Arabidopsis thaliana: one gene and its partners. The protein of the gene in region 1 interacts with the protein of each later gene in a pairwise test. Each region holds a gene or a part of one and is shown in the gene's direction. Other genes may lie near its edges.

Region 1 (8,311 bases):
GAGTCTCGGACTTATGGAGAAAGAACATTTTGACGCAATTTTCGCGGCTCTTGATTGTTTCTTTAGCTTTTACGTAGCCGATTACTACCCTTTCTTAAGAGGATGGAACCTCCAGGGAGAGGAGGCTGAGTTAAGAGAAGCCGTTGATGTGATTGCTAGGTACAATAAGATGATTATCGATGAGAAGATAGAGTTGTGGAGGGGGCAGAATAAAGACTACAATCGTGCGGAGACGAAGAATGATGTTCCTATGATCAAGGATTGGCTCGACATTCTCTTCACTCTTAAAGATGAGAATGGGAAGCCGTTGCTTACCCCGCAAGAAATCACACATCTCTCTGTGGTTCGTGATAGAAATATACTCATATAATTACTACCAATTAGTTTGTATATTATATATCTGATAAGTTATGGTTTCTTTTTGGTTTTGGCAGGATCTTGATGTAGTAGGGATTGATAATGCAGTGAATGTAATAGAGTGGACACTTGCGGAAATGTTGAACCAGAGAGAGATTCTAGAAAAAGCGGTGGAAGAGATCGATATGGTTGTCGGAAAAGAAAGACTTGTTCAAGAATCCGACGTACCAAATCTAAACTACGTCAAAGCTTGTTGCAGAGAGACCCTGAGACTTCACCCTACCAATCCTTTCCTTGTCCCTCACATGGCACGTCATGACACAACTCTCGCTGGCTATTTCATCCCAAAAGGTATCTCATTTTTCCCCAAAATTTATGCATTTAGGCGTATTTGACTCCAACTCCTTAAATGTAGAATCAGGAATTCTAACTATATTTATTTTTGCTTGATTTGAGCAATATTTTCATATTAGAATATTTGTTCCTTTGATTTATTATTTTGGACTGAAAAGTGAAAATAAGTAGATTGTGACATACGAATCTTTCAAATTATTATTTTATTTGTTTATTAACTTTAATATATTGATTGTTTGATGTGGATCACAGGCAGTCATATTCTAGTGAGTCGTCCGGGTGTTGGTCGAAACCCTAAGACATGGGATGAGCCACTCATCTACAGGCCTGAGCGCCATATAACCGGCAACGAAGTGGTGTTGACTGAACCAGACTTACGACTTGTTTCATTTGGAACTGGTAGACGCGGCTGCGTTGGAGCTAAGCTTGGAACGTCCATGATTGTTACGTTGTTGGGTAGGCTTCTCCAAGGGTTCGACTGGACCATTCCTCCTGGTACGACGGACAGAGTCGAGCTAGTCGAGTCAAAAGAAAATCTGTTCATGGCTAATCCTTTGATGGCTTGTGTGAAGCCCAGATTAGATCCAAACATGTACCCGAAACTCTGGACCGGTCCAGCTTGATCATACCGGTTAACGGCACCACATTTCAATTGCTATTGTCATGTATGAGTAAAATTTGAATAAAGTTTTTGTCTTGAGGAAAAGTTGAAGAGGAATATAGCCCATAACGTTCATAAAAGGCCCAGCCCAGTATTGTTCTGCCGTTTTAATTTGAGCAAAGTAAGCTTCAAGTAAAGAAACGGGTTGAGTGCAAAAATGGAGAAATTAACTTGCAAGTTGAGATTAGCACATAAGAAGAGTATCTAATTCCATCTTGTTCACAAAGTCATTCTTTTAGCATTAATGATCCTATATTTATATCAAATCTCATAAGATCTTCAGTGTATAATATATAGTTTAATTTTTTTCTAGGTTTTCGTTCGAACTCATGTGGGTTCAGTAAATAAATGTTTAAGTCCCCATCTGGCCGCGTCAAAAATACTTAGATAACAACAATTAGTGGTTGACATAGAAAAGTAATGATTGTTGCCGCGTAGAATGAAATTAATAAAATTATAAAGAACAGTGAAGCAATAAATGTTTCCTTGGCGTCTTGAAGAGTAGTCTTCTTAAATATTCCAGCCCAAAAAAAAAAAGATTCTATCCATTATCAAGAGAAGAAAAAAAATCTGAATTCCAATTCGAAGAAGAAGAAGAAGAAGAAAGGAGATGACTATGGGGAATTTCTTAAAGAGATTTGGAAGTGGAAAAAGCAGAAGCAGTAGAAATATGACTCTGGGAACGACGTCGTCTCAATCTCATGAACCATCACCGTCGGATCCTTCACTCTCCCTTGCCGATAATACCAACGCCACCAAGAAGAAGTACGCTCTCATCCCTGACCGCTTCTCTTCCCTCGACCAGGTTCTCTTCTTTTTTGTATCTCTCAATTTCTTGTGTTGACTTGACTTTTGGTTCACCATGTCTTCTGCTACTTCCATGTTCTTTGAGTTCTTCAAAAGTCTAATAGATGTATATGATTATTTTTTTTCTCCTCCATTCATTCGTTGACATTGGGACATAAAATGATTTTGAGTAAAAAAATTGTCTGGAAACTAATTAGAGATGGAGAGTTGTTACTGAGTGTTAACTAGTGAATGGTGTTTAAAAGGTATCAAAAGCTCTAAGAGAAGCTGGTCTTGAATCATCCAATCTCATTCTCGGAGTTGATTTCACAAAGAGCAACGAGTGGACTGGTACCTTCAGCAAATACAACTTATTGTTAAATTCACATATATATTTTTGCAACTGTAAACAAAAAAGTGGTTAACGTTCTGTTTCAGGGAAAACTTCTTTCGATGGAAAATGTCTGCACGCGCTCGGCGAAACTTCGAATCCATATGAAAAGGCGATTTTTGTAATCGGCCAAACGTTGGCTCCTTTTGATGAAGACAATCTCATCCCTTGTTTCGGCTTTGGCGATTGTAAGTTTTTCTTTCCCAAAAATATCATCTTCAGTTCACTCTCTGTTTCTAAGACTCTGTTTTCTTGCACTATCCAGCAACAACTCATGACGAGGAAGTGTTCGGTTTCCATAGCGACAATTCTCCATGTCATGGCTTCGAAGAGGTCTTAGCATGTTACAAGAGAATTGCACCCAACTTGCGTCTATCAGGTCTTTCTTTGAAAATCTAAATACTACCTTCCATAGCTTTATCACCAAATCACAACCTTCCGTGTTCAAAAGGGCCAACGTCGTATGGACCGCTCATCGATGCTGCTGTCGACATTGTGGAGAAGAACAACGGACAATTCCATGTTCTGGTGATTGTTGCAGATGGACAGGTAAAGTTACAAGCAGTTAAGAGAAACAAAGTATGATACCAAAACTTAAAAGGCTACCTTTTGAATGTTAAGGTAACGAGAGGTACGGATATGGCCGAGGGAGAACTCAGTCAACAAGAGAAAACAACCATCGACGCGATTGTAAATGCAAGGTAAAAAAATGCAGATTCAGTTTTTCATTTTTCGCAACTCGATTTGCGGTATCTAAACAAGCCTTTTTCGAAATTCCTTTATTATCTACAGCTCGTATGCTTTGTCGATTGTTTTAGTCGGTGTTGGAGACGGACCATGGGAAGACATGAGGAAGTTCGATGATAAGATCCCTAAGCGTGAATTCGACAACTTTCAGGTATCTTCCCAGTTTCTGTGCTATTTTCCATCTATATTCTCTGCTTTGAGCATCTTCTTGATCTCTGGTCTATGCATAGTTTGTGAATTTCACAGAGATTATGACGAGAAACTCACCAGAGTCTGCCAAAGAAACTGCTTTTGCTCTAGCTGCTCTAATGGAGATTCCCTTTCAGTATCAAGCAGCCATCGAACTCCGCTTACTCGGGTACTTCCATAAGTTCTCAGCATAACAGAACTACCGTCTTTCTGCTCTATTTTTTTTTTTTTTGTCTAATTGCTTCTGCTGGTCCCTGTCCACTTCTGCACCCGTCTATAAAGGAAGCAGACGGGCTTAGCGAAGACAATAGTTCCGAGGCCACCACCAATTCCGTACACACCTCCAACTAATGCTGAACTACCATCAACTGCATCACCTGCATCACCTGAACAAACCCAGGTCTCATAATTTGTATACTTTACTATTTTTCTGCCTTGTCGAATCAACTCCAATCTCATATGGTTTTCCGTTTAACAGAGTTGCCCGATTTGTCTGACTAACCGAAAAGACGTGGCTTTCAGCTGTGGCCACATGGTAAGTTTCACCGATTGCTTTTAGTTTACTCAAACCCATTCATTAATCAACAACCAGTTTTAACTTACCTTTGCAATTTTCCTTTTGCAGACTTGTGGAGATTGCGGATCCAAAATATCAAATTGCCCGATCTGTCGAGTAAGGATCACGAACCGGCTAAAGCTTTACACATGATCAATGGCCACGAACTTTTTTTCTGACCACGGCTTTACACGTGATCAATGCCAACAAACTTTATCTCTGCACATAACAAATCGCTTGCACATAGCCATCTCCTTTGTAGAATCTACAATTTGGTTTGCCAAGTGTTTCTGACAATGTTCCACAATCAGCGTGTACCATGTAATTCTGTATGTACTGTAAAACATTAACTTTGCAAACAAGAATGAAGAAGCAATGTACAAATTACAAAACATAAGTTTTACATTTTATTCATCATAACAAAAGGTTTGAAGTGATTGACATTGTAGCCGTTTGCATAGCACAAAAGTTGTGTCGCTAGATGCCGGTTTCAAAAACAAAAGATATTACGGCCAGGAAACACGCCATTTTTGTATCGACAAAAGATTCGAGTGAGAGGCATTCACTAACATTGACTCTTAAAATAATTCATCCTTACTGAGTTTTGGTTGTCACCGTGTCATCTGGCTTTGGCATTGGTTGGATTCTTTGATAAGGCTTCCTGGTAAGAGTCTCTCCCCTAAGAGCAGCAACGTATCTGTCGTTTGTATCCTGCTTCTGTTTCAACTCACCAAGATATTCAGCTAGCCTCTCTTGGTTTACTTTACCCATCATCTAACAATACAAAAACAGAAATGTATTGTTCATCATAACACAAAAAGATTGAAGATTAACAATAAGCCTAAGGTTAACATACGGCTGTGATCAATAAACTTCCAATTGAATCGACATTGTGAAGCAGAGCAAGAACTCAGATACATGAAATTCCTTGTTAACACAGAACAATGGATTGGTGTATTAGCAACAAGAAAATGCAAATGCTCAATTCAACATATCGAGGCCTAAACACCTCTAACCTCTAGGTACCCAATCCCATAGGAGCTTTGCAAAGTAGCAGAAAGAATCATCATCAAGCAAAGTTCTACTCATCCTCCAAGAAAAGTTCCACACATCAAGCAAGACAACTATAGGAACTATGTACGAACAAATTGTAACCATCAAGTTCAACACCGATTAGCATCAATAGAAGAAAACCAACTACATACGAGAGTATCTGGGCGAGCAGATTTACGGAGGCGGGCTTCGAGCTCAGGGTTACTGGAATTGGTGACCTGCATAACTCCATAGCCAATAACGCCAGGAATGACACCACATAAAGCAGCGAACGTGAAGAAGAAGGATCTCGAATCTCGCGTCTTCATCACTAGCCATCTCCATGTATTGCTCTTCTCATACATGAACGACATCTCTCTCTCTCTCTCCGTTCTTCTCACCTGGGGTTTTTAGGGTTCATGATTTGACTTACAGGTTCGCACTTTAGCGTTAATTGCAAAGAACTCCTATTTGATTATTTATTTACTTTTTGGACCCCATATTATTCTCATGTTTCGTTTGTATCCTGAACAGTATGTGTATTATAGTTCAGCCCCTATAGTTTGTTTTTTATTATGCCATGAACACTCTAGTTTTCTTTTGGTTAAACAACACCCTGTAAGGCTAAGAGGTAATTTGCAAATTGTCATTTTTACTAGCATCTGTATTATGTTTTACTTGTTTACAAAACACAAAAATTAACTTCCCATATATATACAAAAGATAAGAAATATGTTATGGACTTATGGTGTTAAATCTGTTGATTATTGACCATATAATAACCTAATTATAGTAAACTTTTTGGGTAAAATTTCTGATTACAGTCAACTTAATCCGTTTTCCAAGGGTTGAAATAGAGGCGTAGAGTAATTGAAGGACGTTCAAATAATTGTAAACACATCTATCAACTCCAACCAAATGTAAACTAATTTTTTTTTTTTTAATTTCTAAATTACTTGTGAAAATTATAAATTCTTGTTTTAGAAAGCATTTTCAGTTTTTTTTTTAACATAAGGTTTAATTTTCATAAGCGTATCATCACCATCACGCTTGAAGAATGCTCATGATCATCGAATCAAGAAGAAGAAGATGGATCCAAAGTTGTTGCTTTGCTTACCTCAAGGAGATGAACTGTTTAATCCCCTTAATACCATGTTTATTCAAATGGCTTGCATTCTCGTCTTCTCTCAATTGTTTTATCTCCTTCTTAAACCCTGCGGCCAAGCTGGTCCCGTTGCCCAGATTCTTGTAAGGAAATTTCTTTCTTGCGTTACAAGAATCACCCGGTTTTTTGTAGTGGAAAATGTCTAACAAGTTTTTGTTTTGTTATCCATATTGGATATTTTTTAGGCTGGGATTGTGTTGAGTCCTGTTTTGCTCTCAAGAATACCTAAAGTTAAGGAATTCTTCCTCCAGAAAAATGCAGCAGATTATTACTCCTTCTTCTCCTTCGCTTTACGGACATCTTTCATGTTCTTGATCGGTCTTGAAGTGGATCTACATTTCATGAGAAGAAATTTCAAGAAAGCTGCGGTGATAACCTTGAGCTCATTCGTGGTTTCCGGCCTCCTCAGTTTCGCTTCCTTAATGTTATTCATCCCTTTGTTTGGGATCAAAGAAGATTACTTTACGTTTTTCTTGGTTCTTCTCGTTACCTTGTCTAACACGGCATCTCCTGTCGTAGTCCGTTCAATCGCTGATTGGAAACTCAACACATGTGAGATCGGACGGCTGACAATCTCATGTGCGTTGTTCATCGAATTAACAAACGTGGTTCTCTACACTATAATCATGGCGTTCATCTCTGGAACTATCATACTTGAACTCTTCTTGTTTCTTTTGGCAACCGTAGCCCTAATATTGATCAACATGGTCTTAGCTCCATGGCTTCCAAAGAGGAACCCTAAAGAGAAGTACCTCTCAAAGGCTGAAACTTTAGTTTTCTTCATCTTCCTTCTCATCATCGGTATAACTATCGAATCCTACGATGTAAATTCCTCGGTTTCTGTTTTCGCCATTGGCATAATGTTTCCACGACAAGGAAAGACTCACAGAACGTTGATACAACGGCTTAGTTACCCGATTCACGAGTTTGTTCTTCCGGTTTACTTTGGTTACATTGGATTCAGATTCAGCATCATCGCGTTAACCAAACGCTTTTACCTCGGTATAGTTATTATCGTGATTGTAACCATAGCTGGGAAATTTATTGGTGTAATAAGCGCTTGTATGTACCTGAAGATCCCTAAGAAATATTGGCTTTTCTTACCCACCATTCTCTCTGTTAAAGGCCATGTCGGTCTTCTTCTTCTAGACTCCAACTATTCCGAAAAGGTACGTTTACTTATATGATTCCGCTACTTTTATACCATTCACATTAAGTCTTGTTCAATTGTAGAGTGTCTGTTATTGCACACCCACAACAAAACAACAAAAAATGTTACACATGTTTTAGGGTCTGGTATATTTTGGTCAAGAACAGACGAACAATTAACATATATAATAACAAAAACTTATGGTTCTTTTTTTCCCATTCTTTGTCTGAATCTACCTGTAGAAATGGTGGACCACAACTATTCATGATATGATGGTGGCTGCTTTGGTGATAACGACGCTAGTAAGTGGTGTTCTGGCATCTTTCTTGCTTAAAACAAGAGAGAAGGACTTTGCTTACGAGAAGACTTCGCTTGAGTCTCATAACACGAACGAGGAATTACGCATTTTATCGTGCGCCTATGGAGTCCGTCATGCTCGCGGTGCGATCTCTCTTGTCTCGGCCTTGAGCGGTTCTCGTGGAGCCTCTGATCCGTTTACACCTCTGCTTATGCACCTTGTACCCCTCCCCAAGAAACGAAAATCGGAACTGATGTATCATGAGCACGACGAAGATGGAGGCAATGCGAATGGAGATGACGAATTCGGGACCAACGAAGGTTTAGAGATCAACGATTCGATTGATTCGTTTGCTAAAGACAGCAAAATCTTGATCCAACAAGTGAAGCTCGTGACTCAGATGCTTAATATGCACGAAGAGATCTGTAACGCAACAGAGGATCTTCGAGTTTCCATTGTATTTCTTCCGTTTCATAAACACCAGAGAATCGATGGGAAGACTACAAACGATGGGGAACTGTTCAGACAGATGAACCGTAATGTTCTAAGGCACGGTCCGTGTTCCATTGGCATTTTTGTGGACCGTAACATAACCGGATTTCAGCAGCCGCACGGGTTTGATTCT
Region 2 (7,995 bases), on another chromosome or scaffold:
TTGGTTGTGTTCGTTTCTGTTATTGTTGATTTCTGTTCTTGGCTGATGAAACTGTTAAAAAAAATACGATTTTTGGAAGATTGACTAGATCCACTTCACAAAAGAATGGAAATTTGAATCTGGTTGTATCGATTTAGAGTGAATTTGAGTGTATCTGTTTGTAAGTTTGATGTGTCTTTGAGGCTTTTTTACTAATTTGGATACTCTGCACAATTTCTGTTTTGGCAGGTATCTTTCAGAGTTACTTGCAGAGCGTCATAAGCTTACTCCATTCCTGCCTGTGCTTCCACATGCATTTCGGCTACTAAACCAAGGTGAGCATTACTGTTTTTGTTGTTTATTATTTGTATTTTCATCTCACATAATACTTCATTCTTTGCTTCAGATTCATGAAGCTATAATACAGTTGATAAACTCTTAAACAGTACTGCTAAGAGAGACCTAATTGTTAGCTATTAGAAGTAGATCACGAAATGACTAATTCTATATTTCTTATACTGACTTCATTCTATTTAACCAGAGTGTATTTAACTAGAGTGAGAGCAAAAATATATTTTAAGCTAACTCAATTAACTATGCTGTCTCTCCATTCATTGGTGTCTTGGTGACTGATTTGTTGACTAATTCTAACTGGTGCGTCTTACTCTTGCAAATTGACATTTTTGGAACAGAAATTTTGCGTGTAACCACACTGTTGGAGAATGCTACAGTTTTAAGTCAGAGTGGGCTTGACCACCCTAGCCCTCTGGCTTCTGGAGGGATATTTCAGAATGCAAGAGCTGACATGAATGGATGGGCCTCCCAGTTTCCATCAGAAGTATGACTACTAACCATTAACATAACTCTCTAATTCATACTACTGCAATAGAAGTTTTATTGACTTAAGTTATAATACTGACATAACATATTTGACTGCTTTTAGTCCTAGTTTATCATGACAGGTAGGCTAACACTTCATATCCGTAATGTTTGTATGTTCATACCTTAGATCAACACTAATTAGATACTCCACTATCCTCACGAGTAGGATTGAAATTAATGCTATAATTTTCTCATATATCTGTGGTCACTGTATGCATATTATTAGGATATAACAGCTACAGGTTGAAATGCCTTGATACAGTGACCACTCTCATTGAATGAAGTTCCAGGGCAAGAAGTTGCAGTATTCATGTGCTTATGCTTAAAGGTTGATCTTGCTTCTAATTTTGTTGGTTGATCATTTGCAGAGATCTGTTCCATCATCTCCGGGACCAAATTGGCTTAACTCACCTGGTAGTTCGTCCGGTCTCATCGCCAAGCGTACAATCAGGGTCGATATTCCAGTCGACAATTATCCGAATGTATGAACTTTCATTTCTACACTGAGATATACTACTTCCTGGTTGGAATGTAACTCCTTAATTTTCTATATGGCAGTTCAATTTTGTTGGTCGCCTCCTGGGTCCTAGAGGAAACTCCCTGAAGCGAGTTGAAGCAAGTACTGATTGCCGTGTTCTTATAAGAGGAAGAGGAAGTATAAAAGATCCAATTAAGGTATTTATTATTAAACTTTACAACTTCATTTGTATCTACATTTCAATGTTTGTACAAGGTGTTAATATATTTCTTCTTGTAGGAGGAAATGATGAGAGGAAAACCGGGATACGAGCACCTAAATGAACCACTTCATATCTTAGTGGAAGCAGAATTACCGATTGAAATAGTCGATGCACGGCTCATGCAAGCTCGGGAAATACTTGACGATCTTCTTACTCCTATGGTTTGTTTTTAGCTCTCCCCCTCCCTTTGATTTTAAACCAGTTATTGTTACAAAGTTTTCACACTCGGTTTCTGTTTTATAGGAGGAAACCCATGATATGTACAAGAAACAACAGCTGCGCGAGCTAGCATTGCTCAATGGAACTCTTCGTGAAGAAGGATCTCCAATGTCCGGTTCTGTTTCTCCTTACAATAGCCTTGGTATGAAGAGAGCCAAAACAAGAGAAGGGTAAAAACCATCGAACAGTTTGGCTGTGATCATAAAGCAATATGAAACCGATCCAAAAGTCGACACAAAAAGGCCATACCACTCTTGACGACACGGTACTGTCTCTTGTCCTTGGGGTAGAAATGTTGTATATATGATTTATGAAATGTGTTTGTCAGTCTATGTATCATTGTCCCGGAGAGAGATCAGATGACAAAATTGCAACGGAAACACAAGAGCTGATGAGTCTCTGTCTCTCTCCGAGACTTTGATTTTGTTTTTGTTTATGTTTTTATGTCTGGAAAGTTGGGTTCCAACAGTTTTCTTTTAAGTTTTTTGTTTATTTGTTGTTTTAGCAAAAAGAAAACATTAAATCATGATGATGGTTTGTGTCTGGTATTGGTAATGATAATAATCATAATATGTTTTGGATACATAAACGTCAAAGTAAAGCTTGTTTCAATATGATATGTGGAATTATGTAAAGCAAATGTTCTGTTCTCGAGTATTTTTCACATTTTTATTACTGGAAGTCGACATTTTCTATTACATGTCAACTCTGTTTTCAACATTGAAAGATTACTTGATTAAACTTTAAACAGATCTATATATTTAAGTAAATCGGTTAGTATACCCATATGTCAATCGGTTTAATGGCCTGTGACCCTTATAACCTAGTTTCTTGTGATGCAAGGTAGCTTTCCTTTACTGTTTTACAAAAAAGGCCTATTCAAAAATTGTTATGTACTTTATATAAAAGATAATTTTAAAATCCTATCGAATTTGGTAAGAGTAACATCTTACATATGAAATCTACCATTCACAAATACTACTTTATTAGTAATATGCAAATGCATAACAATTTTTGTAATGTATAGATTTTATTTGCATATAAGAAAGTGTTTTTCTTTTCATATAAGAAAGTTTTTTAAGAACAAAAGGAACATATGTCAAAAAAAATTGTGATAAGTTTTCCACTTTTCCCTTTTCCCCTTAAGGTACCAAATCTTTGCAATCTGAAATAAATATCATTTTCTTTTGATTTCCTGTTTCTTTTTTGAAAATTTCTTGTTTAATCCTTCTTCTATTTTCTTTTTCCAAATTTGCATAACGTTTCTTATTATGGACAAAAGAGTCAATGGGCTCCGTCAGTAAACGATTGGGCCTTATTATAGCCCATAAGTACAGAATCTAGCTCGCTACGTGGCAAAGCTTCACCGCTCGAAAGAGAGGAATCTATATAAACCGTATCGATGCTAACAAGTTTCATCTTCAAAACAACCCCTTGAGATTTCCGAAGATCATCAAATCCAAAACCCTAGAAACCGAACAAAAGGTAGGTCAAAATTAGCTCCGATAAATCTCGATTTCGATTTGAATCATCGTTACTCTTAGGGTTTATTCGTTTCCCAGTTCTTGATCTTCGTCGTTTGATTCTCTCGCGGTTTTGTTTCCTTGCGTCGATCCATGTGTTTTTTCTGTTATCTTGGTTCTAGAATATTCTCGTACCTACTTCTGATGATTTACCTTTAACTGATGCGTAATTGCTTGATCTGTTTCTGAATTGTTCGTTGATTTTCTCTCTGTTTGATCGAATTCTGATCGGATTGTCTCTTGGGCTTGAGTGTTTGATTTCGAGATTTTTCTGGTTGATTTCTTCAGGAGGTGTATCTTAGGCTAATTATCAAAGCTGATTTGCATAAAGTCTTTCCTTTTAGGATAGCTATGTTCTTGCTCCATATGTTAACTGGTTTTTGCTGTGTACTGCTTTTGCATCTGTACTTGTAGCAGTATAGTAATTTTTTTGATTTGATTTTGTTCCTAGCTAGCAGAAGCTAGGACTATTCAATGGCGTCGAAAAGAATTAACAAAGAGCTTAGGGACTTGCAAAGAGATCCTCCTGTGTCCTGCAGTGCAGGTGAGTGTTTTAATCTATGATATCTACTGTGAAATTTAAAGAACCACTTTGATAGATTCAGTAGATGATGTAGCATTAACCTCAGAATCAGTTTTAGGAGAATGTTTTTTTTTTTGTCCTTAAGATACATTATGAGCTATTTAGATTTTAATGAATTGGTGATGTTATTAGGTCCTACGGGAGATGATATGTTCCAATGGCAAGCAACTATCATGGGTCCAGCAGATAGCCCGTTTGCCGGAGGTGTGTTTCTTGTTACCATTCACTTCCCACCAGATTACCCTTTCAAGCCACCAAAGGTAACAGAAGTTTTTTGTTTTTTGTTATGTTTATTTGTGTAGCTTAATGAATTTGTTCATCCACACCATTATGATTTAGAGAGAGTGTTCAATCAAGTAGGCTTTTTGTGGCAATAAACCTTCATTGTTTATGATGCAGGTTGCCTTCCGGACCAAGGTTTATCACCCAAACATCAACAGTAATGGAAGTATCTGTCTTGACATTCTGAAAGAGCAGTGGAGCCCTGCACTTACCGTATCCAAGGTGATCAAATTGTTTCACTTCCTTACTTTTTAGTATAGCATTAGTCTATTTTCCACCACACCTTCTTGTGACCATGTCTTAGTTAAATGGTCATGTCTTAGTTCGTTCTCTGATGTGATTATCTTCTTTGACCAACCTCTCTTTACATTGGTTTTATGAACAAACAACATCGCAATCCCTTGGATATAGTCAAGGCCATTATCATAAAAGATTGAGCTCTGTTATTTGTACCCTTGTCTAAATGCTGTGATATGGATTAGTCAAGTAAATTCTAGTTATCTCTTTTAATAGGAGTGTTACATTATGTTATAATGTTTAAAGGCCTTCATTATCGCTGTTGATGACATGTTATCTAGATTTAATTTGTTTAATGACTCTCATTAGCGAGACAATGATAATCTTTTATTTGCATATAAGCTGAAGAACTAAAGTTGGTGGTGCAATTTCCGCAGGTTCTTCTGTCGATATGCTCATTGCTGACGGATCCAAACCCTGACGATCCTTTGGTTCCTGAAATAGCGCACATCTACAAGACAGACCGAGTCAAGTACGAGTCCACAGCTCAATCCTGGACTCAGAAGTATGCAATGGGATGATAACAAGCAATAATACCCACCACCAGTACATTGCGTATTAAACAGGAGAAATAAGAAAGAAAGAAAAAAACTCAGTTTGGCTTTTACTTTGGCTACTTTTGCTTATTAGTTTTTTTTTTTTAATTATATCTTGAAGCTGTGTGTTGGGTGTGTACATGAGCTTTATGCCTTATTTGAAACATTGAGATCTTGCAAATGCTTTTAAGCCAATAATCCGCTATCATGATGAGTCCCTTGCTAGTAGTGTAGAAGAATATCACATAAGTTTGCAGATAATAAAACATTTGCGCATAATAGTGATTGTGAAATTAGATTGGAGTTGGACCAACACATTTTGGTGATCGTGACAAGTTTATACGGTGTTAGATTCCTATTGGCAAACTACTATAAAAGTCTTGAGAATAGAATAACAACTGAATATGACTATTGACTTGATCCATTTGTACGGTTTTCTCTTTCTTTTTTATTTGAAAATTTCAAATTGGGTTTGGAACAAGTTATATTTAACTGGTTTACGAATTTAGCTACTTATTCGGTCTTTTTCATAGCTGACAAAGATACATAATGTATATAGCTGTTAAATAAAAAAATGAATTCCGTGTGACTTCACCATTAGAACGCGTTTTTGGTTGGGTGAGGTCTGATGTGCATCAGAAACAAGTGATTATTTGGGGGGAAATAAATAAATTCGAAGAAGAAGTGTTTATAAATTTAAATCAAAATGTTGAATTCGGTTAAGTTTGGTCGACCATACGAAGCTTCAAATATTGATGACATTTAAGAAAGAAACGCATGAGGTAACAGTGTAACTCAACAGTTAATGCGAAATACACGAATACACGCGATGCAAAAACCGCAGAAGAAAACGTGCGCAAGCAATTTATTACCAAATTGATCCCAAAACGACGTCGATTCGATTCACATAAACCAAAACGACGTCGGATTGATGCAATCATATAAAAAAGAAAGGCGTGGAAGGAGTTAATAAAACTTGGAATGAGACATGTCGGCCATTTCATGGTGTTAAGAAAACAGAGCCCTCAAATACTTTTTAAAAAGAAACAGAGTGCACCAAAATCCTCTTAATTTTCTCAAAATTCAAATCTCTCTACAGATCATCTGAGAAATTTTAGATTCTGGAATCTATTTGATTGTCTCTCTCTACAGATCTCTCTGTATATAGAAAGAGGTATAACTGTCTATCGCCATCTTTATCTCCTTGGCTTTTTCTCTCTGTTACAAACTATTCTTCCTATTTTTAGATATCTTCTCTCTTTGTAATTTACCTTTCGTTAAACACTTTAAGGATTCATTAGGGTTTTTGTCGATTTCCTTCTGCATTGCTTTTCCTTCCTTTTGGAGGAATTTTTAGGTCTCGGAGTTTTGATTTCGACCTTTAAATTTTGCTTCAGAGGAGAGATTCTATCCGTTACAGTTCGTGAATTTCGCGTTTGAAGAACTTGAACTTGATTCTGAAGAATGTCAGGTAAATTTTGAGAAGAGATAAAATCGATCAGTGAAATGATTGTGAAATTAGCTTCGTTTTTGATGTATATGGAATATATTGCTACAGGTCGAGAACAAACAGGAGAGAAACTATCAGATTCTGAGTACATAGAAGAAGAGCCACGGCGTTCTAGAATTGGGAATTTGAAGAAGAAGGCTTTTAGTTGTTCAACTAAACTTACACATCCTTTGAAGATGAGAAAAGGCAAACGTAAAATCGATTTCCAGATTCCTTTGATTGAAGATGTTAGAGATGAGAAAGAGGAGAAGCTTGTTTCTAAATTGCGTCAACAACTTCTTCAGAAAGATTTGTTGCCTCCAGTACATGATGATTATCATATGTTGTTGAGGTATGAAATGAGCTACCAAAGTTCCTTCTTTTCTTATATACAACTGGAAAGTTGAAGACTTTTTTATTTGTGTCTCTGTGTAGGTTTCTGAAAACAATGGAATTCAAAATCGAGAAAACTGTCACGGCATGGGAGGAAATGCTTAAATGGAGGAAAGAATTTGGAACCGATCGCATTATACAGGTACGAGATATGGTTTCAGCTGTGGTTTCAGAGTAGTAGCATCTTGCTGTGGAACTAACAACATTTTACAAATTGATAAAATAGGATTTCAATTTCAAAGAGTTGGATGAAGTGACAAGGCACTATCCTCAAGGGTATCATGGAGTTGATAAAGATGGGAGACCTATTTATATCGAGAGACTTGGAAAAGCTCATCCTGGTAAACTTATGGAGGTTACTACTATAGAGCGATACTTGAAGTACCATGTTCAAGAATTCGAGAGGACACTTCAAGAGAAGCTACCTGCGTGTTCAGTTGCAGCTAAGAGACGAGTTACTACAACTACTACAATACTAGATGTTGAAGGCCTGGTATGGTAAACTCATGTAGATGCTTTAAAGGAACCACATGGTTTTTCTTGAATTATAATATTGCTCTTGTGGTTGTTCAGGGTATGAAGAACTTTACTCCTACCGCTGCTAATCTCCTGGCCACCATTGCTAAAGTTGATTGCAATTATTACCCTGAGGTACTTAACTCTTTGATGAATACACTTTTTGTACTAGAAGCTCTACTCCAAGTATAAAAGGGGATAATATTTGTGATGAATCCAATGAGCCAAGTGGACATGGATGTTTCGGTTGCTCTAAAAGTTTGTAATCATGGTCTCTGACTCTTGCAGACTTTGCACCGAATGTTCATTGTCAATGCAGGGATTGGATTCAGGAGTTTTCTTTGGCCTGCCGCACAGAAGCTTCTTGATCCGATGACTATTGCAAAGATACAAGTAATGACTATCGCTCTGGTTTTACTTTTAAGTATATATCCTCGTTTCTGTTATTAGCAACCACTCATTACTTGTGTTACTTAGGTTTTGGAGCCAAGGTCCTTGTCAAAGTTACTTGAAGCAATTGATTCCAGGTTAATTTTTTATAGCTCACCTCATAGAG
Region 3 (7,809 bases), about 13 Mb from region 1:
GAAACTGACAAAAAGGGTTTAGAGATATCAGGACACACAAGAACATCATTTAAAGGTAAGTTACCTGAAGTAGAAGGAAGACTGCCTAATCATGTGTGTGTTATGGGAAGAAAGTTTCCATTTCCCACCATTACTGAGTCACTTCCTTCATACAGCTGAGTCTGACTGAGCTTGTGAGGTGCATTGGTGATGTGAGCAGTAGAGCCAGAGTCACCTACCCATTCACCACCGGATTGATCTGTGACATCAGTTATCCTGAGTATTGCAAGAGCTGCTGGCAGATCCTCATCTTGGTAGCTGTTGTTGAACCGATGCCAACACTTCAAAGCATGATGACCAGGTTTGCCACAGATCTGACAAATGACTCTTTCTCCATTTGAGTTTTGTGAAATTTGTTGATGAAAACCTCTACCACGTGTGGAGAATGAATCTTTGCTTTTTCCACTCCCAAATCTTTAGTTGCCTTTTCCTCGGTTGTTGTTGTTGTTGTAGTAACCAGAGGAGTCTGATCTTGAAGCATTGAAAGCCATGTGAGGTGAAGTTTCAGTATCAGGACCATAGCTGTTCAGCCTATCAGCAAATCCTGTCAGCCTTGAAATCACACTCTCAAAGGTAGGTGGTGGCTGAGTATCCATTGAACCTTCTACAGATGTTTTGATAGGCTCATACTCTCTACCTAACCCATGAAGTGCAGCAAATATCTTCATCTGTTCACTAACAGGACTGCCTATGGAAGCTAGCTGTTCACAAACCCTCTTTATCTCCTTAAGGTAAGTTTCCATGGATTTATCCTGTTTATCTATGGTTTGAAGCTTTCTCTGTAGCTCAAAGAGTCGTGATGAAGATACCTTATTGCAGTGTTGAGCCAAAGCATTCCAGACTTGATAGGAGGTGGCACAGTTGACAACTTCCTGCATGATGTCTTCATTCAGAGATCCCAACAGCCAGGCTCGGACTACTTGGTCAGATCTGTTCCAGGTATGATACTCTGGATTTGGTACCTCAATAGTAAGACCATCGATGTTGTTGAATGGAGTTGTTGCAGGAGGAGGCTTGAGTGACCCATTGACAAAGCCTAGAAGGTTTTGGCCAGAAAGAAAGGACTCAAACTGTGTCTTCTTAAGAGAGTAGTTTTGCTCATTGAGCTTAACAGTGACACAGTTGGAGATGTGAAGAACAGGAGGTGAGTAGAGTTGGATAGATTGATCCATCATAGACCGCTGTGCTCTGATACCATGAAAGTAAGAGCAAGACGGCTACTTTAGGTAATGTTTGAGTGACTTTCCTTTTGATATTATTTCACTTGAGTTCTAGGTTACATCACAAGTTCCCTTTTATAGCTAAACAATGCTAGGGTTTCAATCATTGTGAACTGACAGATGTCTCAATCTTGTTATGCTACGCAGGTCATCAAGCAATCAAATCTGTTTTCTGTGATGATTGGAGCCGTACAACAAGCGCTCCTCTTCTCTGTCATTATTCTGGCTTTGTTCTCTTGCACAGGTGGACTTAGCCGTTGAGAAGATGAAGAAGACTTGTTGGGCTTCTCAGACTTGCTAGGCTTCTCATTTTAGTTGACATTAGGCTTGTTAGGTGAGTGGCCCAATATCCCTTTCTCTTTGCTTACTGCAACGACATCGTCTTGACTCCTTAACTCTTCAGCTACATCTGAGTTCTTCTTCGATCTTGTTTCAGATTCAGGAGCTGAAGGCGGAGCAGTAGAGCTCTTGCTAATACTTTGCTCACAAACACGTATGATCATGTAACAGTCTCCATCCTACCTTTGTCACAAGCGATGTGTTCAAATCCTTTCCAGACCACCCTCTGTCCGTGGACGACAAACCCTATCCCAAGCAACCAAATGTTGTTTTCTCTTTTCTGGTGTACTTCCCCATAAAAAGCCTCTTGAAACTTTATCCAAACCATCGCCAATCGATTTTGGTAAAGATATTGTGCTCATGGTATGAATCAATATAGATGCCAACACTGATTTGGTCAATGTTAGTCTTCTTGCAAACTCAAAGAGCAGCCTTTCCATCCCGGTAGCTTTGATGACACTTTTTCGAACAAAATAGTATTAGCGCGGAGAAGATGAGAATTCTTTAAGGATACTTTTGGGATGGTTGTATGGAAACTTGGGCTGTATGGAAAAAATGGCGGAAAGCACTTGGTCGACCAATGTTTGCCATGGGAGTTTGGTGGAGCTTGAAATAGAGGTGTGGTTATGTGTTTGGCGAATTGGAAAAATGTCGGGAAAGAGTAAAGTTTACCAGAGAATTGGGACAAGAAGTAAGCCGTGCACATAACTCACTTCGGGAGAGTATAGGTACGGGTGTGAGAGTTGAGCGAATGGTAACGTGGAGACCACCGCGGGACGAGTAGTTAAAGCTAGATACGACTGGTCCTTTCACAAGAATCCAGTTTTGACTACAGCGGGGGGACTCATACGGGATGCAACAGGTAGTTGGTGTGGAGGATTTGCTCTCAATATCGGTGTTTGTTCAGCTCCTTTAGCGGAACTGTGGGGAGTTTACTATGGACTTTACCTAACTTGGGAGAGACATATCACAAGATTAGAGGTCGAGGTTGATTCGGAGTTGGTGGTTGGATTCTTAAGCAAGGGGATTAGTGATTCTCATCCCTTGTCTTTCGTGGTACATATGTGTCATGACTTTTTATCTAGGAACTAGATAGTCTGGACTTCACATGTATATAGGGAGGCTAACCGCCTAGCGGATGAGTTAGAAAACTATGCTTTTACTTTACCATTAACCTTTCATATGTTAAAGGTTGTTCCACATGTTGAGACGATTTTTCAGGATGATGACCGCGAAATTGCGTTTCTGAGGCATGTCCGTCTTTAGTTTTTTTTGTTTTTTGGGGGGGGGGGGCGGAAGTTGTTCTCCCGGGTTGCACAGAAATTAGCGAGTAACACCTTAAACACATAAAACGACACCAAACCCGAGCACATTATCTATGAAATATACCAAGCCAAGTTAGAAGAAGAGAAACACTTTGAGGATTATAGTGATGCTTCCTTGATAGCAGGTCAAGTCGGCATCTAATAGAGTTATTAATATCCTGAATTAGAGCTGAGCTTGGCCTCGAAAAGTTATTGTGAGGTCTAGAGATTCTTTCCCTCCAAATGAGATAAATAGACGCTTGAAAAGCCAACTTAAGAATCAAAGCAATGTTCTTCTTCCTGCTAGGATTTTTAAGCATCTGACTCCTGCATCAAACAAAGATGGCAGAGAAACATGGGCCTTGCAGTGAAAGAACTCCATACTTCTATAGAGTAAGAGCAATAGAAAAACATATGTTATCTTATATTTTCCTTAATTTTATATTAATTCTTTGTAAAGTTTAATTTTCATATTTTTACTACTTTAAAAAGAAATATTTTGTTTTTTTAAAACTTAATAATTGTTTTGTACTTGTAATTGGTTTTAGAAAGATATTTTTTTATAAAAAAGGGTATTTTTAAATATAATGTCTTTTAAAAACTACAAATTTGCAAAATATTTTTATAAATGAATAATTATTAATTTTTCATTAAATTAGTACTATTTAAAATTTATAGTTTTTTATCAGTTGCAAGTGCAACATTATTAATTTATAGAGATTTTAGTGTACACTTCTATAAATAAATCAATTCATTGAGATTTTTTTTCACTATTCATCAAAAATATTAAAATTAAGAATAGTAAAAAGCTCTTCATTTGCATAAGAAAAAAACAAAAAACAGAAAACAAAAAAAAAAGACAAAGTAAGGAGGCCAGACAGCAGACCCGTCTCTCTCCGTCTCCATCTCCGCCATGACCAGCTCTTCCGCTCCTTCACGCAAGGTCGCTCTCTTTCTCTCACATGTCTTCAAATTCATGTTTCTCTTTACAAAAACTTTGATGATTCAATCTGAGAAATTGTGTTCTTTCATTCATGCGTAGGCTTTAAGCAAGATCGCGTGTAATAGGTTGCAGAAAGAGCTTTCTGAGTGGCAATTGAATCCCCCCACTGGATTTCGTCACAAAGTCACTGATAATCTTCAAAAGTATCAACCTTTATGTCTCTGTCTTTGAAATGAGTTTTTTTTCTTTCTGTGATTTTGATTTGAATGCGTATCTTTGTGTGTGATCTTAAGATGGACAATAGATGTTACCGGAGCTCCAGGGACACTTTACGCTAATGAGACTTATCAGCTTCAGGTTGAATTTCCTGAACATTACCCTATGGAAGCACCCCAGGCAAGTTTTGTTTTTTTTCTCTGATTCGTGAGATTTTGAATCAAACTGTGTTCTTTTGTTGGTTTTGGTGTCTCTTTGGTTGGCTAGAAGTCTCTCACTGATAAAATTCTTGGGTTTGCTTCTGTAGAGAGACTTTGTTATGGATGTTTCATGTTTTAATTCGAACTTATTGTAAAAAAGTTTTTTGTTTTATGTTTTGGTGTCTCTTGGATTGGAGCTACTGTGGAGGAGAATGACTTATTTTTCCCTGTTGTGTTGAGCAGGTAGTGTTTGTTTCTCCGGCACCTTCACATCCACATATATACAGCAATGGACATATTTGTTTAGGTATTGCTTGCTATCTCTTGGTTACTGTCTGCTCTGCATATGCTTATGTTTAGTTTTGATCAAAGCAAGGGTTTGTCGAATTGATATGTAGATGTAGAATCGGTTAGACTCTGCATTTCATAGTTTTCTGGTCAAACAAGAAAGTGAATATTGCTGAGTTTTAAGATATGTTGATGATTATTGATAAGTGTTATCACTCAAAACTGTTTTTATTGTATACCCCCATGCGTGTAGATCCTTTTCCTTAGTATCTATGATACTTCATTGTTTAAGATAGAGTTACTTAGACATGTTGTAGCAGCCTCTCCATGTTTGCTTTTACTTAAACGTTTACCATATGATGAATTGCATTAGAATCGTCTGTCTTAGATTGTAGGTTGTATTCTTTACCAAAACCGAAATCTTTTTCAGATATCATAGAGCTCTCATGTGTCTGTACTCATTTGCCTCTAAGTTGGACTCTAATCAAAATCCTCAAAAAGCTCTGAACCAATCTGAAATTATGCAACTCTTACTACCATTTACGACTTAGCAGTCCAATACATGGTTATCAAACTGAAAAGCTGTGTTGTTGGTTTATCAGATATTCTATATGACTCATGGTCACCAGCAATGACAGTGAATTCAGTCTGCATCAGCATTCTTTCGATGCTATCAAGTTCACCCGCAAAGGTTCTTTCTTCTTCTTCGTGTTTCCCTATTGACAAGTTACCCAAAGTACTGTGAATTATGAGGTCTGAAACTAAGAATATCAATGTGTTTTTTATTCCGCCTTATTGCAGCAACGCCCTGCGGATAACGATCGTTATGTGAAGAACTGTAAGAATGGGAGGTCTCCTAAGGAGACGAGGTGGTGGTTCCATGACGACAAGGTTTGATGCACGACCAAGATTAAAGAGAAGCCTTAATATGTTAATGATGACATTTAAAAATGTCAAAACCTAACTTTTTGTCTCACTCTTACTATGGAATATGTCAAGTGAAGAGCTCTGAATTACATAAGAGAACACTGAGAGCGGGAATCTATATTTCGTACTGAACATGTCCACAAAAAGATCAATTAATGCTAAACAATAAGTTGTCATTAATGCCAATAGTTATTACACAAATGTTTTTTTCATCCAAATGTCTCTAAAAATGTATATATACATTTATTAGGATTTTTGATTTTCTGATTTGGGTCTGTCTATTCAATAAATTTCCTCTCTGGTGGAGAGGTGACTGTCACCAACTTCTTCCCTAAGCCTAAGGGAAAGATTTGTTAGAGTTGAGCCGAATATTTCTCTCTCGCCAAATATGGTAAACTGAGGCTTGGTACGCTAATTTGAGAATGAAAGCCACCTTTTTATCCCGGCAAGGATGTCTAAGCCATCTTGCACTATCTTTAAACATCCTTGGAGGGGTAACACGTGCGTTAGAGCAGAAAAACGACCATACCTCGTGCGAGAAAGGACAATCAAAGAACACATGCTGCCTTGTCTCATCAAGCGCATTGCAGAGCAGGCAAAGTGAAGGGACCTGAATCCCCCAACTAATAAACCTATCACAAATATGCAAACGATTTCTATTGGCCACCCAAACAATGAAAGCATGAGGGGAAATATTTCAAGAGAACCACACCTAATCATACCAGTCCACTTTAGGACCAGTAGGGTGGAGATGGTGCCAAGTATCACAGGACCAAAAGTTGTTTAAAATTGATCACCTCTAAAACTCAATTGATGGAGTTTCAAGATATTTTCAAAATTGATCACCTCTAAATATTCTCACCAATCTACTTCAATAAAAAAATATTTATTAAAATAACAATGGGAAGAAACTCCATATACAGTTACATCGATGAAAAATCAGAACTAACAAATAAACAAAACTATGAAAAAAAATAAGAAAGAAGAGACTTTTAACTAGTAATTAGTTAGCAAATCTTAAACCAATCGAAAACGAAAGTAGCATATGGTTGAGTAGATGACACAGACGCTTAGTGGTGTCTTAAAATGTCTAACCACCTTGTGAGACGCTCTAAAGGTGACAACTTTGGAACATTGAGTGTTGTTCCGACCACGACTTGGAGCTTAAGACCAGCCCCACAGTGACCCGGTTCTGAGCTAATGAAATAATGGATTCCTGGTTTGGTGAGCTTGATGATATCGTGGCCTGTCTTATGCACGGCTATTGGAGAAGTCGGGTCGCAGTTTAAGAATTCAAGGTCACCGCTGATCTCGTAGACACCGTTGACTTCATTGTTGTATTCGAAAAGGAGACCGTCTCCGACATTGAACTGTTTCTCTTTACTCCAGTTGTAATAGAAATCACTGTCGTAAACGCCCCAACTTTTGGAGTCACCAACCTTGTAGACATGTCTAGAAGGAATAATCTTGCTCGGTAGTGGTAGAGGACTCGGACTCGACGGGTCATGGACGACAAAAACGCCAAGCCTCTGTCCCGATGTACATTGAGTATGGTTTGAGGTGATGAAGTAGTAAGACCCTGGTTCCGTGAAGGTTACGACATCATGTCCTGTGTTGTAGACGGCTTTAGGAAAAGAAGAGTCGCAGAATTCGTATTCCAAACCACCGGAGACTTGTGTGACGTCATTGAGGTTGTGATCGTATTCGAAGATCAAAGAATCTCCCACGTGGATCTCTTTATCCTCGGTCCAATGGTAATAGAGGTGGTCCTTGGCAGTCCATCCATCGGAGTCTCCCACTTTGTAGACGGTGGCCGAACAACAACCGAAGAGAAGTGTAAATATCACAATCACGAAGCTGAAGATCTTCTTCATTCTTGCTGTGGCCATGATTCGTTGGTATACACAAAACAAAAAGGAAGGAAGAAAGATGAACAAAAGCTGAGAGGCGAAGAAGAAAAAGGTTATGAGATATTGAAGAGGCTGAATCAAAGAGAGAGAGAGTTGTGTTGTTGTTGAACGATATAATGAGTTGTGAAGAGATGACCTAACCTATCATTGTTTATAGGGTAAATTGCACACAGTAGCCATTGATCCACTTTTAATTTCAGATTTTGACAAAGTGGGCAGGGCCTTTCAGCTATTAGCCATTAAGCCAAAAACTGACCAAAATGCCCCTGACGACCTGACGAAACTGAACCCGGTTTGTACGTACGGACCGCGTCGTTGGAATCCAAAAGAACCGGGTTCGTACGTACGCTGTTCATCGACGAGAAATGCATTAAATGATTTCTGGGTTTCGGCGAAGTTGACACTTGAGATTGGAATAAAAAA
Region 4 (8,191 bases), on another chromosome or scaffold:
ACATCACTCATATAAAGGTTTTGTTTCTTGAGTCTTATGATCCTTCTCTCATGATTCAATAGTTATTACAAAAACCTCATTGGCCCTTGTCTCGCTGATACTGTTTGTTTATGCAGGAAGGACTATCTGTATTAGCTAAATACAAACGACCATTGCTTGTACACGCAGAGATCGAGAGAGACTTAGAGATTGAAGATGGTAGTGAAAATGATCCTCGTTCTTATCTGACTTATTTAAAAACCAGGCCTACTTCATGGTGAGATATTGCATCTTTTCACTCTATATATATAAGTTCCTACAGAGTCATCATTGTACCTGAAAGGAATATTTATTTGAGCAATTAGGGAGGAGGGAGCAATCAGAAACCTATTATCGGTTACTGAAAACACAAGAATTGGTGGTTCTGCAGAAGGAGCTCATCTTCATATTGTACATTTATCTGATGCCAGTTCTTCCTTGGATTTGATAAAGGTATTCAAGAGTTCAAGCAGTAGAAGCACTAGAATTTGGTTGTATCTCATTACATATTTTTTTTGTCTTTGGATGGAGTAAAGGAAGCAAAAGGCAAAGGAGACAGTGTTACTGTTGAAACATGTCCACATTACCTAGCTTTCTCAGCCGAAGAGATTCCAGAAGGTGATACTCGTTTCAAATGCTCCCCTCCTATACGTGATGCGGCAAATAGAGAAAAATTGTGGGAAGCTTTGATGGTATAATATATATTTTACGCAATCTTTGTTGTGATACCTTACTCGTTGATTCTGAGGTTTTGATTTGATTAGGAAGGAGACATTGATATGCTGAGCTCTGATCATTCACCTACAAAGCCTGAACTCAAACTTATGAGTGATGGCAACTTCTTGAAAGCTTGGGGTGGGATATCTTCTTTACAGGTTCGTTTAGTCTTAAAAATGTAATATGTAGAAACTGTGAGAGCACAAAAAAACTCATGGAAGAGCCAATTGCAGTTTGTTCTTCCTATCACATGGTCTTATGGAAAAAAGTATGGAGTAACGCTCGAGCAGGTAACTTCTTGGTGGAGTGATAGGCCTTCCAAACTCGCTGGACTACACTCTAAGGTTCGTTATTATAAAAAAAAACGCAGCTTCAGTATTCTCTTTTTTGTCCATACACAGCACACTGGCATAATATAGACGTGTTTTTATTAGGATTCGGGGTCCATTTATCGCAGCTTATAAGTAATGGTTTAATTATAGGGAGCGGTTACGGTTGGAAAACACGCAGATCTTGTTGTGTGGGAACCTGAAGCCGAATTTGATGTAGATGAAGATCATCCAATTCACTTCAAACACCCTGTAAGTACACAGTTTTTTCTAGAAAGATAGCTAATGGTTAAGCTCGAATAACACGAATGTGTAATCTTTATGTTATGTTTGCTTCTTGTGGTGTACAATAGAGTATCTCAGCTTATTTGGGAAGAAGATTATCAGGCAAAGTGGTTTCGACATTTGTGAGAGGGAACTTGGTTTTTGGAGAAGGCAAGCATGCTTCTGATGCTTGCGGGTCTCTGCAACTTGCAACTACTTAACTTAAAAAGGGATTTAAAAGATCTTGATCTGCACCATTTAAACAAATGTAAATATGCGATTAAGAGTTGCTCTCATGTTGCAAGATGGTTGATGTAATGAGTGAGTCTTTTTTGCCAATTGTAAGTTTAAGACTCTCTAAATCTTGTTGTTGGCTTTAAGGTTAGTGGACTCATGTATATATTGTTGATGCAAATAATTTATATCGCTTAAGTAAATGATGTATATATTGTTGATGCAAATAATTTAAAAGTATACATAATATTTGCATTGCTTGTTGTAACTAATGTTAATTTGAGTCAACTAAAAAAAAAGATGTTATCTTTTTAAATCACTTTTTGTAAGTGTTCTAAGTATTTGCATCAGTTTATCAAAATCATATATATGAAAGTTGGTCAAAATCATATATATTTGTCATGTGTCTATTAAATAATTAATGTAAGCTCTTCAACTTCTAATTTATAGGTTAATGATACATTTATTATTTATTTTTATATTATTTTATTTTACATATTTAATGTACTATTACTAAATTTATTTTAATATTACATGATTTTTCAATAAAACCATTTTAATAGTTTTTTCATACTCGAATATTTTTTTTGTAATCCAAACTCAAAGTATGAGTATATAATAATCATGGATTAGTTAGTGATTTGAGTAGGTTATTCTCTTAAATTGATATTTATATAATAAATCACCGAGGGTGTAGAATACGTACAAACCTCCATCATTTCGTCTGAACCCTCATTTTGCGCCGATTCTGTCAACAATGGTTGGAGGAAGAGGAAAACCTGGAGGAAAGGGAAGACGCAGTGTGAAGAAACAGGAAGAGAAAGAAGTTGAACGTGGTAGAGATGAGTTTTTATCAAAATCAAAAACTCCTCATCCAAAAGGATTTCCTCCAATGCAAGATCTAAGCACCAACGTGGTCACTAATAGAGGTGGATTGCAGCCTATGAAGGTAATGTAGTAGTATATTGTTCGCTTTTTGTTAATTGTTTTCGGATCAGTATACTTTTTTTTCTTTTTTCTTAAGGAATTGTGGGATGTAGAATATGTTCACATCCCTAAGAAATTGAGCTTGAAAACGGTTCTTGACAATATGAAACAAACTATGGCTCAACGTGGGTTCTACATCCGATCTGTAGATGCTTATGTTCGGAAAAGGTTTCTCACCGAGAACAAACCCCTTATTAAACGTCTTCGCCGATCAGACGTGAACATAATTGAATCACAAGAATACCCAGAGGAATATCTAGGTAAGACCACGTTATATTTATCAAAGTTTTGGTAACCTTAATGACGTCATTAAAGAGTTTTGTTTTTGATTAAATTTTTCTAATGGCATTATCATGTAATTAATTACAAAAATAAAGGTTACATTTAAAATGTACTTCCCAAATAATATAGTAGGATAATCGATGTTAATTAAATAAAATGACTTTCAATTAATTGTTTTTAAAAAGTATTATGTAATTTCATTAATTAATATGAAGGCAAACTTTGCATACTAAGTTTTATATTTTTTTACACCACCAAAAAACCAAGGTCACTATATGTAAGAAAACTATGAAACCTCTTTTTTTGTGGGAGAAATGTAGGATTTTGACAAATTAAGTAAACATTTACATCACATTTTATAGTCGATGATTAGTCGTTAACTAGTATCAGTTTCCATTGATGTAAATTTTGTATCATTTTAAATAGTGATGTTACACAAAAATTAATAGATGCATCAATTATCTAAATGATGTAAGCTTATATATTATATCATTTAAAAAAAAAGATAGTATAATAAAATAACTAAAAATACAAATGCTAAAATAATTGTGGATTTTTAATATAACAGAATTAAACAATTCCACACATACAAAACAAAGGAGAAAAAAAGAATTGTAACCTAATTCTTAGACTGTTTTATGAGAATCCAATTCGATGAGGATTGATATATACAATTCCTCTAATTAGTATTAATTTTAGAAAGAAAAAAATAGGATTAAGATTTTATTAGTCAAACTTACTTTTAGTAGTTTTAATTTAAATGTATCTAATATTTTTCAAAATTATTTTATTTTTAAAGATTGTTATCACCTAGAATTTTAACATTTTTACCTTACTTAATTTCCAATTTTTTTTTCCTTCCGCTGACATATATAATTTTACTATTTTTATAAAAAGAAATTACATAAGTGAGCAATTTTAGCATCACATTGGGCACACAAAAACCCTAATTGTATCGTTAGGTCCTTTTATTTTGTTATATTTACATAAATCTCCTTTCTTTCTCCAGCAACAGAGTGTATTCTGCTCGATAATAAATTGGTAAATCACAACACAAAAAAAAAGTGTTAAGAGATCCTTCTCCCTCTTCGAAGATGAGCGGTACGGTGAAGGATATCGTTTCAAAGGCGGAGCTTGATAACTTGCGCCAGAGCGGCGCACCAGTCGTGCTTCACTTCTGGGCTTCTTGGTGTGATGCTTCGAAGCAGATGGATCAAGTTTTCTCTCATCTCGCTACTGATTTCCCTCGTGCTCACTTCTTTAGGGTTCGTCTCTGTTCTCTTGACCAATTCAAAATTTTATCACTTTCAATGAGGTTTTTGACTGTTATTGGTTTTATCTTCTTAGGTTGAAGCTGAGGAACATCCTGAGATATCTGAGGCTTACTCTGTTGCTGCTGTGCCTTATTTCGTCTTCTTCAAGGTAAAGTTACGTTTTTTTTGTTCCCTATGATTTGATCAAAACTTAGGATTTAGGGTTTTTGTTTTTGCTTAAAGTTGTTTGTCTAATTTGGTAGAAGAAGAAGACATTGATGAAGTCATACTTATTGATTCTTTATGTTGCTTTGTTTGGTTGCAATTTTCTGTCTTTATAGCATTGAGAGTGTGTTCAAAAGTTTGAATCTTTGTCCCTATGTTTTGATCGAAAGTTTAGGATTTAGGGTTTTTGTTTTGATTAGTTTGCGTCTCTGTTAGATTACTGAAAGCTGTTTATCTAATCAGGTAGTAGAAGAAGATGGTTCGCCTATCCATTTAGCTCCAGACTTATTGATTCTTTGTTTTAATTGGTTGGTTGCAATTTTCTGTCTTTATAGGATTGAGAGTGTGTTCAAAGCTTGAATCTTTGTCACTGCACTGTAATGATTGTTCTGAAAGTTGTTACTTTCTTCTGACTGTGAATTCGTTTTCTTATTGAAGGATGGTAAAACTGTGGATACACTTGAGGGTGCAGATCCATCAAGTTTAGCTAATAAGGTTGGCAAAGTTGCTGGTTCTAGTACTTCTGCGGAGCCTGCTGCTCCTGCAAGCTTAGGGTTGGCTGCTGGGCCAACGATTCTTGAAACTGTGAAGGAGAATGCGAAAGCTTCTTTACAAGACCGAGCTCAGCCTGTATCTACCGCCGATGCTCTCAAGAGCCGTTTGGAAAAGCTCACTAATTCTCACCCTGTCATGTTATTCATGAAAGGTATTCCTGAAGAGCCTAGGTGTGGGTTTAGCAGGAAAGTAGTTGACATTTTGAAAGAGGTTAACGTTGATTTTGGAAGTTTTGACATACTATCGGATAACGAAGTGCGAGAGGGTTTGAAGAAATTCTCTAACTGGCCAACGTTTCCTCAGCTGTACTGCAACGGAGAGCTTCTTGGTGGAGCTGATATCGCAATAGCGATGCACGAGAGCGGTGAACTAAAAGATGCTTTCAAAGATCTTGGGATCACGACAGTTGGTTCAAAAGAAAGTCAGGATGAAGCTGGAAAAGGAGGAGGGGTTAGTTCAGGAAACACAGGCTTAAGTGAGACCCTCCGAGCTCGGCTCGAAGGTCTGGTCAATTCCAAACCAGTTATGCTGTTCATGAAAGGAAGACCAGAAGAACCAAAGTGTGGGTTCAGTGGGAAAGTGGTTGAAATCCTCAACCAAGAAAAAATCGAGTTTGGGAGTTTCGATATCCTCTTAGATGACGAAGTTCGCCAAGGCCTTAAAGTGTATTCAAACTGGTCAAGCTATCCTCAGCTTTACGTGAAAGGCGAGCTTATGGGTGGATCAGACATTGTCTTGGAGATGCAAAAGAGCGGTGAGCTGAAAAAGGTCTTGACCGAGAAAGGGATCACTGGAGAACAGAGTCTTGAAGATAGATTGAAGGCACTGATCAATTCCTCGGAAGTAATGCTATTCATGAAAGGTTCACCAGATGAACCGAAATGCGGATTTAGCTCCAAAGTTGTGAAAGCATTGAGAGGAGAAAACGTGAGTTTCGGATCGTTTGATATCTTGACTGATGAAGAAGTAAGGCAAGGGATTAAGAATTTCTCAAACTGGCCAACTTTTCCTCAGCTATACTACAAAGGTGAGTTAATTGGAGGATGTGATATCATTATGGAGCTAAGTGAGAGTGGTGATCTCAAAGCAACTCTATCCGAGTAAGTAATATATACAAGTCTCTGTCTGCTGGTTTGCCTTGGTGAGAGAGAACATTTCAGTTATGGTAATAATATGTTTTAGGTGTTACAAACATTGATATTGTTGCTTCTCAAGCTTTGTCTTGTTATTTCTATTGCTGAGTCTATTAGATTCATAACTATTTTTCTCTCTTTGTATCAACATAATCTTTATTTATGGTTATCTTGACCACATTTGCTTTTAGACTGAGTAACAAAACAAAGAGTGGTTTAAACAAAGAAAGCTTGATCCGACGGCTAGGATTAACACCAATCTTTCTATGTTACAGAGTTTCTTAAGATCCGACGGCTGGGATTTTGTGTGATTAAACTCAAATTTCTTAGAATCAAACCGAATGGAAATCATTTGTTTAGAGTTTAGACCAAACTGCAATCGAGCATTAACCGAGACTTTGTACATTTAAACAAGATTTAAACCAAAAGTCATCATAATTTTAAAATTGATACTGATATTGACAATTAGTTAAATATTAAACTAAAATGGTTTTGGTTTTACATTTCAATGACTTTTAGCCAAAACCGAACCATAATTTTACCAAACCAAATTTAACATTCTCCAAACCAAATAAAGAACCTGTATAAACCGAGCGGACACTTAAACCGGAAAATAAAATTAAAATTCGGACAAAGAAATTTCGTTAAACCCTAAACCCCAAAGGTCTTGTTTGCTGTATCTCCTCCATCGCTCCTGCGCCGCGTTTTCTCTCTCAAGCTCTTAAAAAACCTTTCTTTGATTTGATAATCCTAAAATCGTTTTTCCGAGGAAACCCTAATTTCTTGTTCGAACTCGAAAGATGGGAATTTTCGAACCGTTTAGAGCAATAGGTTACATAACGAGTACGGTTCCGTTCTCCGTCCAGCGATTGGGTACCGAGACTTTCGTCACCGTCAGCGTCGGCAAAGCTTTCCAGATTTATAATGTAACGCTCCCAATCTTCATAGTTTCACTTGCGTGTTCTTTATTCATTCGATTCTGTTGTTAATTTGGTTCTCTTGTTGCAGTGTGCCAAGCTCAATCTAGTCATAATCAGTAAGTTTTTCCTTCTTCTGAAACCTAAAGTTTTGTCCTTTCAATCATTCTCTTACTCAAATTCATGCATTTAGAATTGGGTTTTGTCTATGCAGTGTAAATTTTCTTATAATCTAATTTGTGTTATCTTAAAGGTCCTCAGCTTCCAAAGAAAATTAGAGCTTTAGCTTCTTACCGAGACTACACATTTGTTGCGTTTGGCAATGAAATCGCTGTCTTTAGGCGTGCTCATCAGGTATATCTCATTGTAACTATAGTTAAGTTGCTGCTTTTTTTATATCTATGAGTACTTTGTTTATAGTTGGAATTCTTGTGGGTATATCTATAGGTAGCAACTTGGAGCAAACATGTTGCTAAAGTTGATCTTCTACTGGTGTTTGGAGAACATGTGCTTAGTCTTGACGTGGAAGGAAATATGTTCATATGGGCATTCAAAGGAATCGAAGAACATCTAGCTCCAATTGGAAATCTTCAGCTTACTGGAAAGTTTACCCCTACCTCTATTGTTCACCCAGATACCTATCTCAACAAGGTGAGTCATACTTGGTTCAGGATTTCAGTTTTTTTTCCCCTGGTGTCTTCTGTTGACAAGCCTTTCTAACTCTTTGCATGTTTCTCTTACTTGGAACCACATTGGTAGGTTCTTGTAGGGAGCCAAGAGGGTCCGCTGCAGCTATGGAATATTAATACTAAGAAGATGCTCTATCAGTTTAAGGGTTGGGGTTCATCTGTCACCAGTTGTGTTTCATCCCCTGCCCTGGATGTTGTTGCAATTGGTTGTGCTGATGGAAAGATCCATGTACATAACATAAAATTGGACGAAGAGATCGTAACATTTGAACATGCCTCGCGAGGTGCTGTTACTGCTTTGTCTTTCAGTACAGGTAAACACCTAAGCCCTGTAGTTCTATTTGTAAAATCTTTGAGCGCTTCTTGGTTTTATTACCTTTTAAATCTAATTTCGTAGCGGATAATAGTTTATCAATCTTTTCTTGCTGATAGATATCCTATGAGTGTAGTGACCAAAAATAATTTCGTCCATTTGTCTTTAAGTGGAGCTAAATATTTATTTTTCCATTACATAGCTTTACCATCTATGCACCCATTGTTTCATGAATTAGAATTGTCCATACATGTTTCAGGCTCAAGAGATCCATT

The links.
Region 2: the proteins of RGLG4 (region 1) and UBC30 interact in a two-hybrid assay, tested with the Arabidopsis thaliana proteins (one study listed by BioGRID).
Region 3: the proteins of RGLG4 (region 1) and ATUBC2-1 interact in a two-hybrid assay, tested with the Arabidopsis thaliana proteins (one study listed by BioGRID).
Region 4: the proteins of RGLG4 (region 1) and GRXS17 interact in a two-hybrid assay, tested with the Arabidopsis thaliana proteins (one study listed by BioGRID).

The regions. Positions count from the first base shown.
Region 1 is NC_003070.9:29,858,830-29,867,140, forward strand, and holds RGLG4 (Ca(2)-dependent phospholipid-binding protein (Copine) family), read left to right. Parts: upstream 1-1,661; 5' UTR 1,662-1,982; coding exon 1,983-2,177; intron 2,178-2,424; coding exon 2,425-2,509; intron 2,510-2,596; coding exon 2,597-2,737; intron 2,738-2,814; coding exon 2,815-2,928; intron 2,929-3,000; coding exon 3,001-3,098; intron 3,099-3,170; coding exon 3,171-3,250; intron 3,251-3,341; coding exon 3,342-3,447; intron 3,448-3,526; coding exon 3,527-3,654; intron 3,655-3,767; coding exon 3,768-3,885; intron 3,886-3,963; coding exon 3,964-4,020; intron 4,021-4,110; coding exon 4,111-4,194; 3' UTR 4,195-4,487; downstream 4,488-8,311. Other genes in the region: CYP79C1 (cytochrome P450, family 79, subfamily C, polypeptide 1), read left to right, coding at 1-343, 435-708, 964-1,334; AT1G79390 (centrosomal protein), read right to left, coding at 4,636-4,815, 5,247-5,447; CHX2 (cation/H+ exchanger 2), read left to right, coding at 6,163-6,321, 6,424-7,407, 7,631-8,311. UniProt on the Arabidopsis thaliana protein: Possesses E3 ubiquitin-protein ligase in vitro.
Region 2 is NC_003076.8:22,725,939-22,733,933, forward strand, and holds UBC30 (ubiquitin-conjugating enzyme 30), read left to right. Parts: upstream 1-3,076; 5' UTR 3,077-3,305; intron 3,306-3,794; 5' UTR 3,795-3,817; coding exon 3,818-3,887; intron 3,888-4,058; coding exon 4,059-4,186; intron 4,187-4,325; coding exon 4,326-4,430; coding exon of another isoform or gene 4,431-4,463; exon of another isoform or gene 4,464-4,694; intron 4,695-4,882; coding exon 4,883-5,026; 3' UTR 5,027-5,377; downstream 5,378-7,995. Other genes in the region: AT5G56140 (RNA-binding KH domain-containing protein), read left to right, coding at 229-314, 672-817, 1,230-1,343, 1,420-1,536, 1,619-1,762, 1,845-1,994; AT5G56160 (Sec14p-like phosphatidylinositol transfer family protein), read left to right, coding at 6,506-6,512, 6,600-6,882, 6,966-7,065, 7,150-7,416, 7,497-7,574, 7,728-7,832, 7,917-7,966. UniProt on the Arabidopsis thaliana protein: Accepts the ubiquitin from the E1 complex and catalyzes its covalent attachment to other proteins.
Region 3 is NC_003070.9:17,027,522-17,035,330, forward strand, and holds ATUBC2-1 (Ubiquitin-conjugating enzyme family protein), read left to right. Parts: upstream 1-3,689; 5' UTR 3,690-3,815; coding exon 3,816-3,845; intron 3,846-3,944; coding exon 3,945-4,048; intron 4,049-4,138; coding exon 4,139-4,241; intron 4,242-4,504; coding exon 4,505-4,568; coding exon of another isoform or gene 4,569-4,621; exon of another isoform or gene 4,622-4,985; intron 4,986-5,151; coding exon 5,152-5,240; intron 5,241-5,350; coding exon 5,351-5,446; 3' UTR 5,447-5,748; downstream 5,749-7,809. Other genes in the region: AT1G45063 (copper ion binding / electron carrier protein), read right to left, coding at 5,814-6,132, 6,575-7,365. UniProt on the Arabidopsis thaliana protein: Accepts the ubiquitin from the E1 complex and catalyzes its covalent attachment to other proteins.
Region 4 is NC_003075.7:2,515,659-2,523,849, reverse strand, and holds GRXS17 (thioredoxin family protein), read left to right. Parts: upstream 1-3,787; 5' UTR 3,788-3,925; coding exon 3,926-4,096; intron 4,097-4,178; coding exon 4,179-4,253; intron 4,254-4,747; coding exon 4,748-5,968; 3' UTR 5,969-6,254; downstream 6,255-8,191. Other genes in the region: ALN (allantoinase), read left to right, coding at 1-17, 117-256, 345-471, 555-710, 783-893, 969-1,079, 1,218-1,316, 1,418-1,549; AT4G04940 (transducin family protein / WD-40 repeat family protein), read left to right, coding at 6,798-6,923, 7,006-7,033, 7,168-7,268, 7,362-7,565, 7,674-7,917. UniProt on the Arabidopsis thaliana protein: May only reduce GSH-thiol disulfides, but not protein disulfides. Participates probably to the maturation of iron-sulfur proteins and to the regulation of the redox state of the BOLA proteins.